2 linked regions of the Caenorhabditis elegans genome follow. The protein of the gene in region 1 purifies or fractionates together with the protein of each later gene. This does not show direct contact. Each region holds a gene or a part of one and is shown on either strand. Other genes may lie near its edges.

Region 1 (6,617 bases):
ACCCCCTTCGTGTGCCAAAAGAATACAGCTGTTACAAATCAATAAACACAGGAAAAGAAATGAGTCACAACGAGTCTATGGAGTTGACGCGCGTTTCCCCGCAAAAATGGGTGGAGCCTGTTAGGAATGGAATGGGCGGAGAGATGTTTGTGAGGGACTGAAGGAGGGGAGAATACTCTCATTCACTGCGGGAGATTTCGAGTCGATAACGGGAAGAAATAGTTGAATGGATGCAGAAACGCAGATAATTTCAATTTTCCGACTGTAAGAATTTTTCCGACAGTTTCTGTTTCTGAGTCATCAAGAGCGTCGTTTTTTGATTATTGTTTTGCTCTATGATGTCAATTGTTCTAAACGGTTGTTTCTTTATTTAGGCATGTGAAATTAGGTTTCTCAAAATTAAAAATCCCTATTTTTGCCAAGAAATTCTGAAATCTCGTCATTGGAGAATACTACGAGGGGTTCTTGCACTAACTGCTACCACATCTAACTGCAAAAAAAATTATAAAAGTTTTCTAAAATTATTTTAGGTTTTTTTTCAATTTTGAAAAAAAACTCTTGCTTGTAAGATTTTGAGGTATTTTTCCGCAATGAAAGCATGACAACTTGCTAGAAAATCGTAGAAACTCTAACATTGACCTAATTGTGCAAAACAAATTTTAAATTTAAAGAAAAATCAATTTATGTAACGGGAAAACGCAACAAATCGGAAAAACTGAACATTTTTTTTTGAAAAATAGGAAATCAGAGTAGATAAATATTTGAAAATAGTTTTTTTTTTCTAGAAACCGTATAAAAATACCACAGAATTTGATCGAAAAACAGAGAAAATCGAAAAACAAAATAAAACAACCTGTGTGCTACTGTCAATTACCTTAAAGGGACACACTCCTTTCGGGGTGCGGGTCTTGAAGCGCTAGAAATATCTTACTGTAGAATAAAATTCATTTTTGTTTTTTGTTGTTGCATGGATTTACAGCTCAGTTTTGCTATACAAAATTTTTACTTAAAAAAATCAAAATTTAGATTTTCTGTCGGATGACATAAATATTGGGAACTTTTGAAATAAATAAATTCCCAAAAAAAGCTCACCACTACACCTACTCTGAATACTCTCTCGTGCCAATAATTCACTTTTACGTCGCCGATTCCAAGATCATTAGGCGGTGAGCATTCTGAGAGAGCATTCTAGTCGTGGAGACCCTCTTTTCGTCTCCGATTTTTCTGTATTCACTTACACGCAAATTATAACGGGAAGCGGAAAAAAGCGATTCAGAGAGAGACAAACGAGAATGTTATAGATCGACTCTCTGTTGAGAGGGTTCCCGACTAAATCCTATTACCTGTTAAGAACATGATTAGAAGGCGTTGTGAGATGGTGGAAATCGATAAAATAATTTATTGTCTGGTGGTAGTTATCAGAAAACACTACATAAAAACATGGAATGACAGAATCTAGAGCAATTAGATTTTTGAGAGGTGAAAGGCAATAAATATCACACACGAATATTCAACAAGTACATAAAAATACAAATAATAAATTGATCACTGATTCTTCTTTTCTTCTTCTTCAGTAGTAGCCGTATCCTGGGATGTCTCATCTTCACTAGTAGATGTTTCATCCGGTTTCGTGTCGTTTTTCTTTTTCATATTAGAAATCTCAAGCGGGAACCATCCTTTGTTCCGTGGATCCGACTCTCGGAATCCATATACCCAGCCAGCAATTCCACGTGTTGCCACGATTGTTTCACCAGCCGAAACTTTGAGACATTTTCCATCGATAATCGGTTGTTTCATCCAAACTTTGCAGCCGAATTTACGAGATGCGCAGCAGGTCCCAGCAAAATCTTCGCTGATGGTGATTATACGCGAACGACCACGCTTCGATTGTTTCTGGAGCAGTTGATCGATCTGAATATAAACATTTTTAACGGATTTTATTGTAATTCAATTTTTAAATGAAAAACTTCAATGTTTTCATTCTAAAAAAATAATTTAATGAGCTTGAACTTACTGTAAACGTAAACTGCGTGCATCCGTTCACAACTGGCCACCATGTTCCATTTCCTCTTGTCCTCCCGTCAAAAATTCCAATAAAAACTTCACGAAGATTTCTCTTCCAACCAAGATCATATGGATACGTCCATTCACCCAGACTCTTGATCCATTCAATTTCTTCTTCATCGTCACCTTCATGGACTTTACGCATGTTCAGAGACTTTCCATCTGAAAACACAGTAGGTATTTTTAAAAAAATTGTCAGAAGCAGCTCACGAATATAGTCTTCAATTCCATTTCTGTTTCGAATCACATATCGTAGTTGAGTTATGAATAGAAAAGTGAGAGCCAGAGCAACAGCAATGGCCATTGCGATTGCAAATACGAGAGCAATGAAGGAAATTGGTGTAAGAAGGATTATAGGCTCCGTTCCATCGCCATATTTCTGATACCATCCAGCAAAGATTGCGTGATAGAGTGCTGAACCATCAATGATAGTCGAGTGAATACATCCAACAACTGAGAAGAACAGGAAACGAAGGAAATATTGATGGTTTCGGTGACCGACACAATTGTTGATCCAAGCTGAAATATAATATAATTTGTAGATTTTTGCAAAATCATAAAAATTTAAAAAATTGTATTATTTTATTCCAGCTATATTCGGTAAATATATTGAGAATCTTTACTGTCTGTTCGAGCAAAAAACCCGACGATACTCTATCTATTATTTATTGAAGAAGCTCGGCCTAATCTAGAAACTTACGACAATGATGATCCATTTTCATACAACAACGATCACATTTTGAGCAATGGTGAGATCTTGGAACTTTGAATCCGTTGCACGGAACACAAAATTGAAGTTTCTTCTCGTCGGCTGCATTCTCTGGTCTCCAGCCACGTGGCACATATCCTGGACCGAAGAATGAAGCGTTGAAGAGATTTCCTATTGTTAAATAATTCCACAATAAAAATGTTAGTGTATTGAAAAGTCCCATGTATGAAGTAACAGGCATCCACTGAAGAGCAAAAAATGTTGTTACTGCTCCAATCTGAATCAAATATTATTTTATAATGATCAAAATTATATAAAAAATACCATGGTTATTGTGGAGAATGCAAAAATGGTTCCAAAATGGAACATTCGTCTAAATACAGGCTTATCTCCAATTTCTGCAATTGGAGCAGGCCAATCCGGAGTCTCCACCACCTCACCCGTCATCTGAATTGATTAAATTTCAATAATAAAATATTTAAAATTAAATCAAATTTCGAACATAATTGTGGCGACCTGGGTGAATCCACATAACTGACAACGATATTCTTCCATCGAAAATCGACTTCATACTTGATCCAATAAGAAATTATTGACGCTCAGTTTATTATTTTATCGAATTTTTAAAATGTGGACAAAAAGATCACGAGAAAGGAAAGTAGTAGAACGATAAATATAAAAATTGGTGATTGTGTAAAATATTCCGAGTTATTAATGTGATAGAACAACAGAAGGATCAGAGATTATAGCAGATATCAAGAATGTTCAAAAAGTGATTTATAGTTTAAAAAAAAAGTGCTCAGGCATTTCGCTTCGCCATGTAGGCTTCGAGCTCCGCGTCGAGTTCAGCTTCGGTCTTCTTTGGTTTTGCATCACGAGCTCCACCACGGCCTCCCTTGCGGAATCCACCTCGACCAGCTCCGCCTCTCTTGATGTCACCGGCGTGCACTCCGTCGCGGAGGAAATCTTCTGGTTCTGAAAATAAAGATTATTCTGGTGAACACAATTTAATCATTAAAACGTACTGCCATTGTTTCTGCGAGGACCCGATTGGAATCCACGAGATGATCTTCCCGGTGAACTACGAGATCTGTTTCCAAAATCGACTCTCCCAGCCATGTTGCTCGAATCAATGACGGCGAATTTCATGATCTGAAATATTCATGTTCCATTTTGTGTCACCTGAGATCAGGATTTGGGTAACGGAGAAATCTTGAATAACCAAGTCTCGAGCCAATCAATTAATGCGTGTCGACAGCAACGGCTTTCCCCTCACAATCCATCTCACGACACGGGTCAAAACTAATTTCAACGAGCTTCATCGAATGAACGGCCACACTCAACAAAAAAACCTCAACACAGGTTTATTAAGTCTCTTTTTGAAAGGAAACAACGAGATTCTGATTGCCTGGGTCTGTTGTTGCGTACAGTAGATTTCTGTGAACTGGTAGAAGAAGAACAGAACGCATTCAGGAGCGTCCGCTGGAGCACACACTTTAATCAGGATTCAGCCCCAATTGATTGTTTCAAAGTCTTTGTTATCGATTTGTTGTATCCCAATGCAATACCTTTCCATCTAGAGCGACACCGCTAAACTTCTGAACAAGTCTCTCAGCATCACGTTTGGTGAGCGAAATGTCACCAGTACCCAATGAATCACCTGAAAATAAATTGGTTCAATACGGTTGCATATATTATCAAGCTTACCATGCTCGTTGAAGTTGACCGAAACTGAGCTGAGTCTGTAGTCGCCGAAGAGTTCCTCCAAATCGCTTGAAATGACTGTTGGGGCAAGATTAGAGATATTTACTCTAATAACCTTGCTATCTATAATCAAAATGAGTAGAAAATAAGATACATATTGATTTGAAACCCACCATTTCCTCTGCTTGAAATTCCATGATTCTGAACCGCGTCCAAGTCTTTCCATCCACCACTTCCGCCGGAGCGGCGTGGAAGTCCAGTGGGTCTCGTATTTCCTCGTCGAGCTCCTCCGAAGGATTTCTTTTGAATGCTTCCAGTTGTCTTTCTGGTTTTAGAGATGATGTCCTCAAGAGACAAATCGACATTGGTAGCCTTAACCATTTTTCGAAGATTGTTGGAGTTGAAACTGAAACGTTTTTCAATTGAATTAGAACGACAACATTTGGTTTAAGATCAAAAGTAAGTTCACGGGAAAAAACAAAGAAAAAAATTATAATTATTCGGAAGAGCAAATGTAGCGGAGACCAAAGTGGAATGAGAAATAATGAATGAAAAGATAGGAATGAGCAAATGAGGAAACTGAGAAAAACGCTGCGTTTGGTGACCGCGACGCGTACGCAACGCGGTCAACAGCATACGTTACCTCTTATTTGAATAAAATTCTCAACACATTTTTTTGCAGAGAATTAGGGAAACAAACAAATTGACAGCTTAAAATCAGTGTAGAGAAATTTTAACGTTTTTCAAATAATAATTCAAAGTAAGAAAAAGGATGGAAACAAGTATTTAAAACTAACGACACAACGAGTGGCTCATACAAAAAGTTTATTACTTCTTAAGGCCAATTGGCAACGAAAAATCATTCTTGAAAATTATTTTGAGACCAGTGATGTATATCTAGCAAAGTAACTAAATAGGATACAGTATTCATCGACGCAGAATTAACCGTATAAAATTCATCGCATCATCTTCTTCTTCTTGATCATCGTTGTCAAACTCTGGAACATGATCCCAATTTTCCTCTGTATCGCCTTCTTGTAATTCGTTTTGAAACGTAATTCCTTCTCGTTGAATTCCGAAAAAGCGTCGTGGTTCACGAGTCATGCTGATATATTCCCATCCAAGGTGTTCATGACATCTGGAGCACTGAATGATAATCCATGCGTACCTGAAAATCTGACTAATTTAATGATAAAGAGGTATTTGAATAAGCTGACTCTGGAAACCATGTGAATTCATATGATGGTGGTGTAGCTCGATCATAGTTTCGTATTTCTGACAGTAAGGTAATTTTGTGAACAAATCCGTGAGCATTAACATGAGTCATTGTTTGATCTGGAAGCCTCATGATATGTTCATTGCGGAAAATTGGAATGCGACATCTAGAACATCTCCCGACAAATACTTTGAAATACTTCAGAGCAGCAACTATACGACCGTTCGCTGAATCTTCTTTCAAGAGACTGTACTCAGTTAGCCGATTAGAGAAAATATGCTTTGCAGCAAAATAGCTGAAGTATGTGAGGCCACGATCTTTAGCTTGTCTCACAGTGTCATCTCCAAGCATTCCTGAAAGTAGTCCCACGCATTCATTCACAGCACTTTCTGTAACATCTCGAATAGCATTGAATGGATATCCATTGATTCGGGTTGCAATTGAACGTTTTTCGTGAGCAGGTAAATGTATTGCATATTTCGGAATAAATGATGGAAGTAACGATGGAAGTTCGACGTCTGGTAGCAATTGTACTTCTGCTTCACCACGCCCTCTGAATTTGAAAGAAATTAGAAGGAAATTATGTTTCGTAAAACTTACAAATTATACTTCAAAACTTTACATCTGTAGACGCCCATCAACTCCATACTCAGAGCGTTAGAATTTGCTTGAACAACTCTAGAAAGTGTAGCAATATATGGGAGTGATGTGCATTCTGGAATATCCAATGGAAACAGTACAACAAATCCATTAGCTCGAGCACTCGATACAAGTCTTTCATAGATTTCTCGTTCATCATCGTGGAATTTCATCGGGAGTTGTTGCCCTGTAAACTAATATGAAATCGGGAGGTTTTTCTTTTTAAATGTAACTCACCAGGAAAACAAACAGCACTGACTCCACAAATCGGAAACCAATTTGTTC
Region 2 (5,780 bases), on another chromosome or scaffold:
AACCGACCACCATGCCACGGTGTTGATCATGATTTGTAAATTGTGGATCACTTAAGAAAAACTAAAAATATTAGCACATTTACAGATTCATTTCCGAATGTGTAACGGTATATGAACATAGGCCCGCAAATGTTAGAGTTGTCAAATCAGGTGGACCATACTTCCCAGCAACTATTCGAGTAAGTGGTTTAGAAATAAAAGCATTAGAATTTTCAAGTTTTGATTTAATAGCTCTTGACCAAAAGTCAGTAATTCAATGAACAGCATAAATGTTTAGTTGTTTATCTAGGTTTTGTGTTTTGAATTCAATTATCGGATTTCTGATTTATTCGGAATTTTTCAACTTTACTCGTAAAAGTACACGTTAACTTCTTCACAAATTTTACATATTTTAAAAATAAAAATTCTGCTGAAATTGGTAGTTGCCGAGGTAATTTTAAACAGGAAGTGACACTGTGATCTCATTTATTATATTCAGGTTCCAATTCTCTGTGAATGCAGACTTCGTCGTCAATTCAAAGATTTCGAAAAAAGGAAATAACTTCGTGAAACTGTTCTCTAGTTAGCTAATAGCCCATCTGTTCAAATGCTCACAGGCTTCAACTGTGCCAAAATCTCTTAAAATCTCCGTATCATTTGATCTTCCTCCACCATTCTTACCTGATCTACCAATACTAGCCAGCTCCTCGATCTCTTTTTTCTTTTGGTGCCATAGCTATTTTTTTTGTTCTTTGTCATATTTTCCATATTTTTTGAATTTCAAGCATCATGTTGCAGTTTTAATTATGTTTCCTAATGTTTATACATAAGCATTATTTCGTGTATCCATTTTATTACCTGCATTTATTTTGTCTTCAGTTGTATTCTCTAAATTATTTATTTGTGTTTGATCAATTCATTTATGCAGAAAACGAAGAACTGCGAGATGAAGCAGAGTCTATAAAAGGTTTTCTATTCATTTGATATCCTTCGAAAAAACAGAATGACAAATTCATTAGCATGCAGTTAAAAATAAAGAGGAAATGAGTTGAATGGCAATGGAACTCCATTATAATCTTTTTGCACCACAACTTGAAATCAATGGGACAATCTAAATCCCGATAAATAGAAATAATTGTAAACCAAAAATATACACCGTTTATTTACAATGATGATGTAAAAATTATGTCACAATAATAGTAGTTTAATCGGAAAAAAACACATTATTCGTATTTGAATCAGCCCACAAATATTCGTGCGGAGTTTCAAGACCAGTTCGTTGAAACTTGAATTTGAATAATCGGATGCTGGATCGTGACTCAATAATTTAGAATGACGTCAGATTCTATGGCAACTAATTTACTTTGTAGATTAGTCATGTACAGATCCCCGAAAATTTGGTTTTAAGACCTGAAATAAGATCTTCAGTTCATTCGATTTATTTTCAAAACATTGTTGAAATCAGGACCAAGGAAGTAAATGAATAAAACTAGATATTTATTAGATAACCGTCGGAGGATCAGAATTCTGATCAACACTTTTGGCACAACAGTATTTCAAAGTGAAGAGCTCATTTCTCTCTTTTGTACCCTTTCCTGAAGTTAAATTATCATCTTCAGACAAAATATCATTCTTCCATTACTGTTTTCATAAGACAATTAAATTTTTTATACTGGCATAAAATTTTTGTCTAACTCTCAAAAACTAGTCTATCTCTCTACTGTAACCGAACAACAACAAAACACCAAAAGATTAGAAAAACTAGAGTCACACACGTGGTGTACTTTATTTTTGTGATTTTTGTGACAACAATAAGAGAACATATACCAGTTTTCAATATTCGGCTTCATGGAATACTGTAACGCGTTAACCTTTAAATTGTGAAATCTGATTAAACATGGAAGATTGTGTTGAATATGAAATTTGGAAAAGAAATACTCGGGAACAGTATTTAAAAGTTCAAAATATACATAAAATGATCGTTTAGGTTCGAGCCTACATCGTCGAATATCGTATTAAATTACTTATGTTTTTATTGGTAAATTGCCAAATTCTAGAAATTTCTAGCATGTTCGAGCCCATGTTCAGATGCTTAGATATAATTAATAGAAATACAAATCGACTAGAACAATCGTAAAAAATTGTTTTATTTTGAAGTTTTTCTATGTCGTAATATTAACTTTTAATGACAGTTCATTTTCTTTCAGTCGCGGGGTGCTCATTCTTTTGCATTGTTAAATTGATAAAATACTTAAAATGTCGATACAACATGTAGGTGCTAAGATGTGTGCATGCGATGCATGAGTAGCTTCCCGAAGATCACCTAGTCCAACTATGCCTTCTTTACTAGCCCAAATGTTAATTGACATCGTGTGAACGTAGTGTTAGGATGTCACCAGTTACGCATGCCTACGTCTGTAGGCTCTTGTGCTCCTACATGGTATACTTAGTATGAATACAGATATCAGTGCCGATCCTTGAAAATGTGAGAATGTGGTCGTCAAAACAAAATTCACAAATGACACACCAATTGCTTTTTCGTTTAGTCGGTGTTTGTTTGAAAACAAAACTGATTCAATGCTTCATTCATTTGTCTTCTTCTTTTTGATTTACTTTATCGTTGTTTTGTGTAACAACACCAAGGCTCTCAAGGACAGCCCGTATCGATCGCAATTCGGCCGCTGTGGCAGACTACCCATTCACCACTGCGACCGATAGACCGACTACTACCTGTTTATACCCAATTATTCGTTCTCATGTTTCTTTTTATCCTTTTTACTGTTGAATTACCAACAGTTGAACAATCAAAATATTTTCTATAATAACAAAATTTCTCTTCCTCCATTCTTTGTACCTTTCCAATGTATTTCTTTTGTGAGAACACCAACGTTGCTGATATTTTGCCATATCAATAGAACCATTGTAGTCTACAGTATACTTTTTTAGAATGCGTGTCGCAGTTATTCTTCTGTTCTTTTTATCTGTCGCTCTCGCATGTGACATCATTGTTCATTTGAAATCGGACACAGACAAGAAATTCAGCGGACAAATTGTTGCCAGCAATGGAAAGAAATCTGAAAGGTTTGTTCGGAGGACATCAATAGAAAAATTATGTTTTCTTTTTCAGATGGAGCTATTTGAAGAAGCTTCAGAAGAACACCTTCCAACAGAAAGCCGATGAATGTGGACTCAAGGATTGGGAGATTACTACTTGGGATGATGCTGGAAAGCCAGTTGCTACCGTAAAAGTCACTTTGGATGGAATTGGAAGAGTCACTTACAAGGTTGGAGATGATTTGAAGGCAGTTCAAAAGGATCGTCAAGGAGCCATCTGCAAGGGACAATGTGCTCCTTTGTAAATGTTTGAAAACTATTAATCAATGATAAAACTGATAAAACATTCATTTTTCTTTGTCAATTTTGATTTCACACGAAAATTGATAAACAACTTCTGAGATAGTTTGTGTCTTCAAGGCAAAATGGTGAGAAGTGACAAAAATTATGTACAGGTAAGAGAAAATGGCAAACTGAAAACGAGACTAGCAGGGGAATTTCTTGTAAAAGCTTAGTTTAGGAATCGAATCGACATCTTCTCCTCAATATCAGTTTTTTCCATTGCTCGACAAAACTCATCAAAAGAAATTTTTCCATCACGATCTGCATCAGCTTCCTCAATCGTTCGATCAGCAATCTTGTCGAGTTGATCAGAAGTTATATTGGCACCAACCATACTGTTCAGAATGACTTTGAATTCTTCACGTGTGATGTAGTCGTTTTTATTTAAATCGTACATTTTGAACGCAACTGAAATAAAATTAAATAATTAAAAACTTGAAAGAATAATCTTACAAAGCAATTTGTCTTTTCTCGAGTTGAGAGCATTTTTCTTTACTCTTGAAATCGGTTGAAAGTGTGCAAGAATTCGAACAAATTGACGAAAGTTCAACTGTTGCTCTTCGTTGTCACCGTTTGAAGAAGCTAATGTGAAAAAGGCATCTACGATTCGATCACCAAGAGGATTCACAGCCAACTCGGGAACATTCAAAAAATCGTCTCGTGAAAGAAATCCCTGTCCTGAAATGTTTTTTTATTATTTTTATGATAAAAAGAAATACGCAACAAACCTTTTTTATCAAGTGATAAAAATCGGCTGTAGAGTCGGACAATTTGATTTCTGTTAACTGAAAGTAACATTGATCATCTAATTTTCACCAAGTTAAGAACATTAAAAATAATTGTATTTATTATCTAAACTCACATTCTGTTTCACTCATTATTTCCTCAATCTCCTCATCTCGTAACATTAAAGAACTGCTGTTTCCCATTTCGTAACACTGAAAATTCAGTTCTATCAGTTTTGAGAGAAAAGTTTCTGAAGAATGGAAACCAAGAAGTGAGCGTGTGAAGTTACACCCACGAATGAACAGTTTTGCATAATCTGGCAAAGAAATAGTCAGAATTCTTCAAAAACTGTAAACAAATAACCGAACAAAACAACAAAACATTTCTGGTCTACAGAGATGATTTTGGAGATAATACAGGCAGGTACTATTGAGATATGGCGTAGTATCGATTAGCCACAATCTATTGAAAACATGGATAACGAGAGAAGAGAGAACTATCGATTTTCAAAGCAACTGTCTTATCTTTATGAAATGGACGCGATCATGCCACGGAGAGGCAGCAGGCGCATAAACAGGAAAGTAAAGGCGGTTGGAAGTGAAAGAACATGATAACAAAAATAACAGTAATGTAACAAAAACACGGGAAACGCCAATTTAAAGTGGGTAGGGAAAGCAACTTGAAAACTGCTTATTCATTTCGAAGGTGCCTGCATTCGGTTTGGATTATACGTGTCGAATTCTTCTTCCTCTTCGTCATCAACGTCATCTTCATCGTATGTCTCCTCCCCTTCTGATTCGTCCTCTTCTTCGCTTTCACTGAAATAACGATATTATTCTTCAAGAAAATAAAATTTTCGTGAGGCGAGTGACGTCATTATTGTATTTTTGATGATTATAAAATGTACCTAGTGCGTTCCCGTATATTGTTCTTTCGCATCTCCTCATATAATTCGTAGCTAGTTTGTAATAACGACTGTCGTAATGAAGCGTATACATTACAACAGAAAGGATTGACCGATCAAATAGATCATGGAATTAAATGACCTGTATTGCAAAAAAATCGTACCTTGGTGGAAGCATGTCGTCATCGATCATTTTATCCGATGTTTGACCACGCTTAGCTTCTCGAGTCATTTTTAGAGCGTTTTCTTCGAAACAAGTAGGCCATTTGCCGAGTTCGCGAATGTATAAAACATTGTCCTGATCCAAAATGTACTCGATTTCTCCTTTCACCTTAAAACCACATAAAATACTTTTCGTTAATATTTTTTGTCTTACTTTGTCTCCTTCTGTGATTGGCCGAACAACGACAAACTGATCACGCCGAAGCCATACTGATTTTCTAAACTTTGTGGGCATCGATACAACATAGCTGTCACCATTTTGATCGAGAACTTCATGCAAATTGTTACCACGCGATTGTCGGACTTGTGCAATTATGTCTTCATCAACAAGCTCGTAAAACTCGCTTCCAACCTGAAACAAAAATTTAATTCAGAACACGAAAACTTAAAATCTTACTTTGTTGGTAATGTATCTCTTTTTGGTAGCAGCAGACATGATTTCAGGTTTAAAAAAAATTGAGTTTTAAGTTGGGAAGTATACGATTAATGTATCACTTCTTCTACTTATACGCATAAACTGGAGAAAAGGCCCGAAACCTGCAAAACTGAAATT

The links. The genes of interacting proteins can lie anywhere in the genome.
Region 2: the proteins of aly-3 (region 1) and ZK856.7 fractionate together in Caenorhabditis elegans (co-fractionation; one large-scale study listed by BioGRID). This does not show direct contact.

The regions. Positions count from the first base shown.
Region 1 is NC_003282.8:12,121,555-12,128,171, reverse strand, and holds aly-3 (Chromatin target of PRMT1 protein C-terminal domain-containing protein), read right to left. Parts: upstream 4,891-6,617; 5' UTR 4,859-4,890; coding exon 4,651-4,858; intron 4,601-4,650; coding exon 4,481-4,600; intron 4,434-4,480; coding exon 4,342-4,433; exon of another isoform or gene 3,926-4,341; coding exon 3,799-3,925; intron 3,749-3,798; coding exon 3,573-3,748; 3' UTR 3,363-3,572; downstream 1-3,362. Other genes in the region: dhhc-6 (Palmitoyltransferase), read right to left, coding at 1,546-1,911, 2,015-2,226, 2,275-2,583, 2,765-3,050, 3,098-3,220; M18.6 (CULT domain-containing protein), read right to left, coding at 5,405-5,645, 5,695-6,246, 6,294-6,519, 6,570-6,617.
Region 2 is NC_003283.11:10,199,173-10,204,952, forward strand, and holds ZK856.7 (uncharacterized protein), read left to right. Parts: upstream 1-2,925; 5' UTR 2,926-2,926; coding exon 2,927-3,060; intron 3,061-3,106; coding exon 3,107-3,338; 3' UTR 3,339-3,381; downstream 3,382-5,780. Other genes in the region: nssp-61 (NGF domain-containing protein), read left to right, coding at 1-35, 86-179, 479-541; chpf-1 (EF-hand domain-containing protein), read right to left, coding at 3,545-3,783, 3,829-4,053, 4,104-4,160, 4,238-4,304; ZK856.11 (putative RNA-binding protein EIF1AD), read right to left, coding at 4,796-4,919, 5,170-5,336, 5,382-5,579, 5,625-5,663.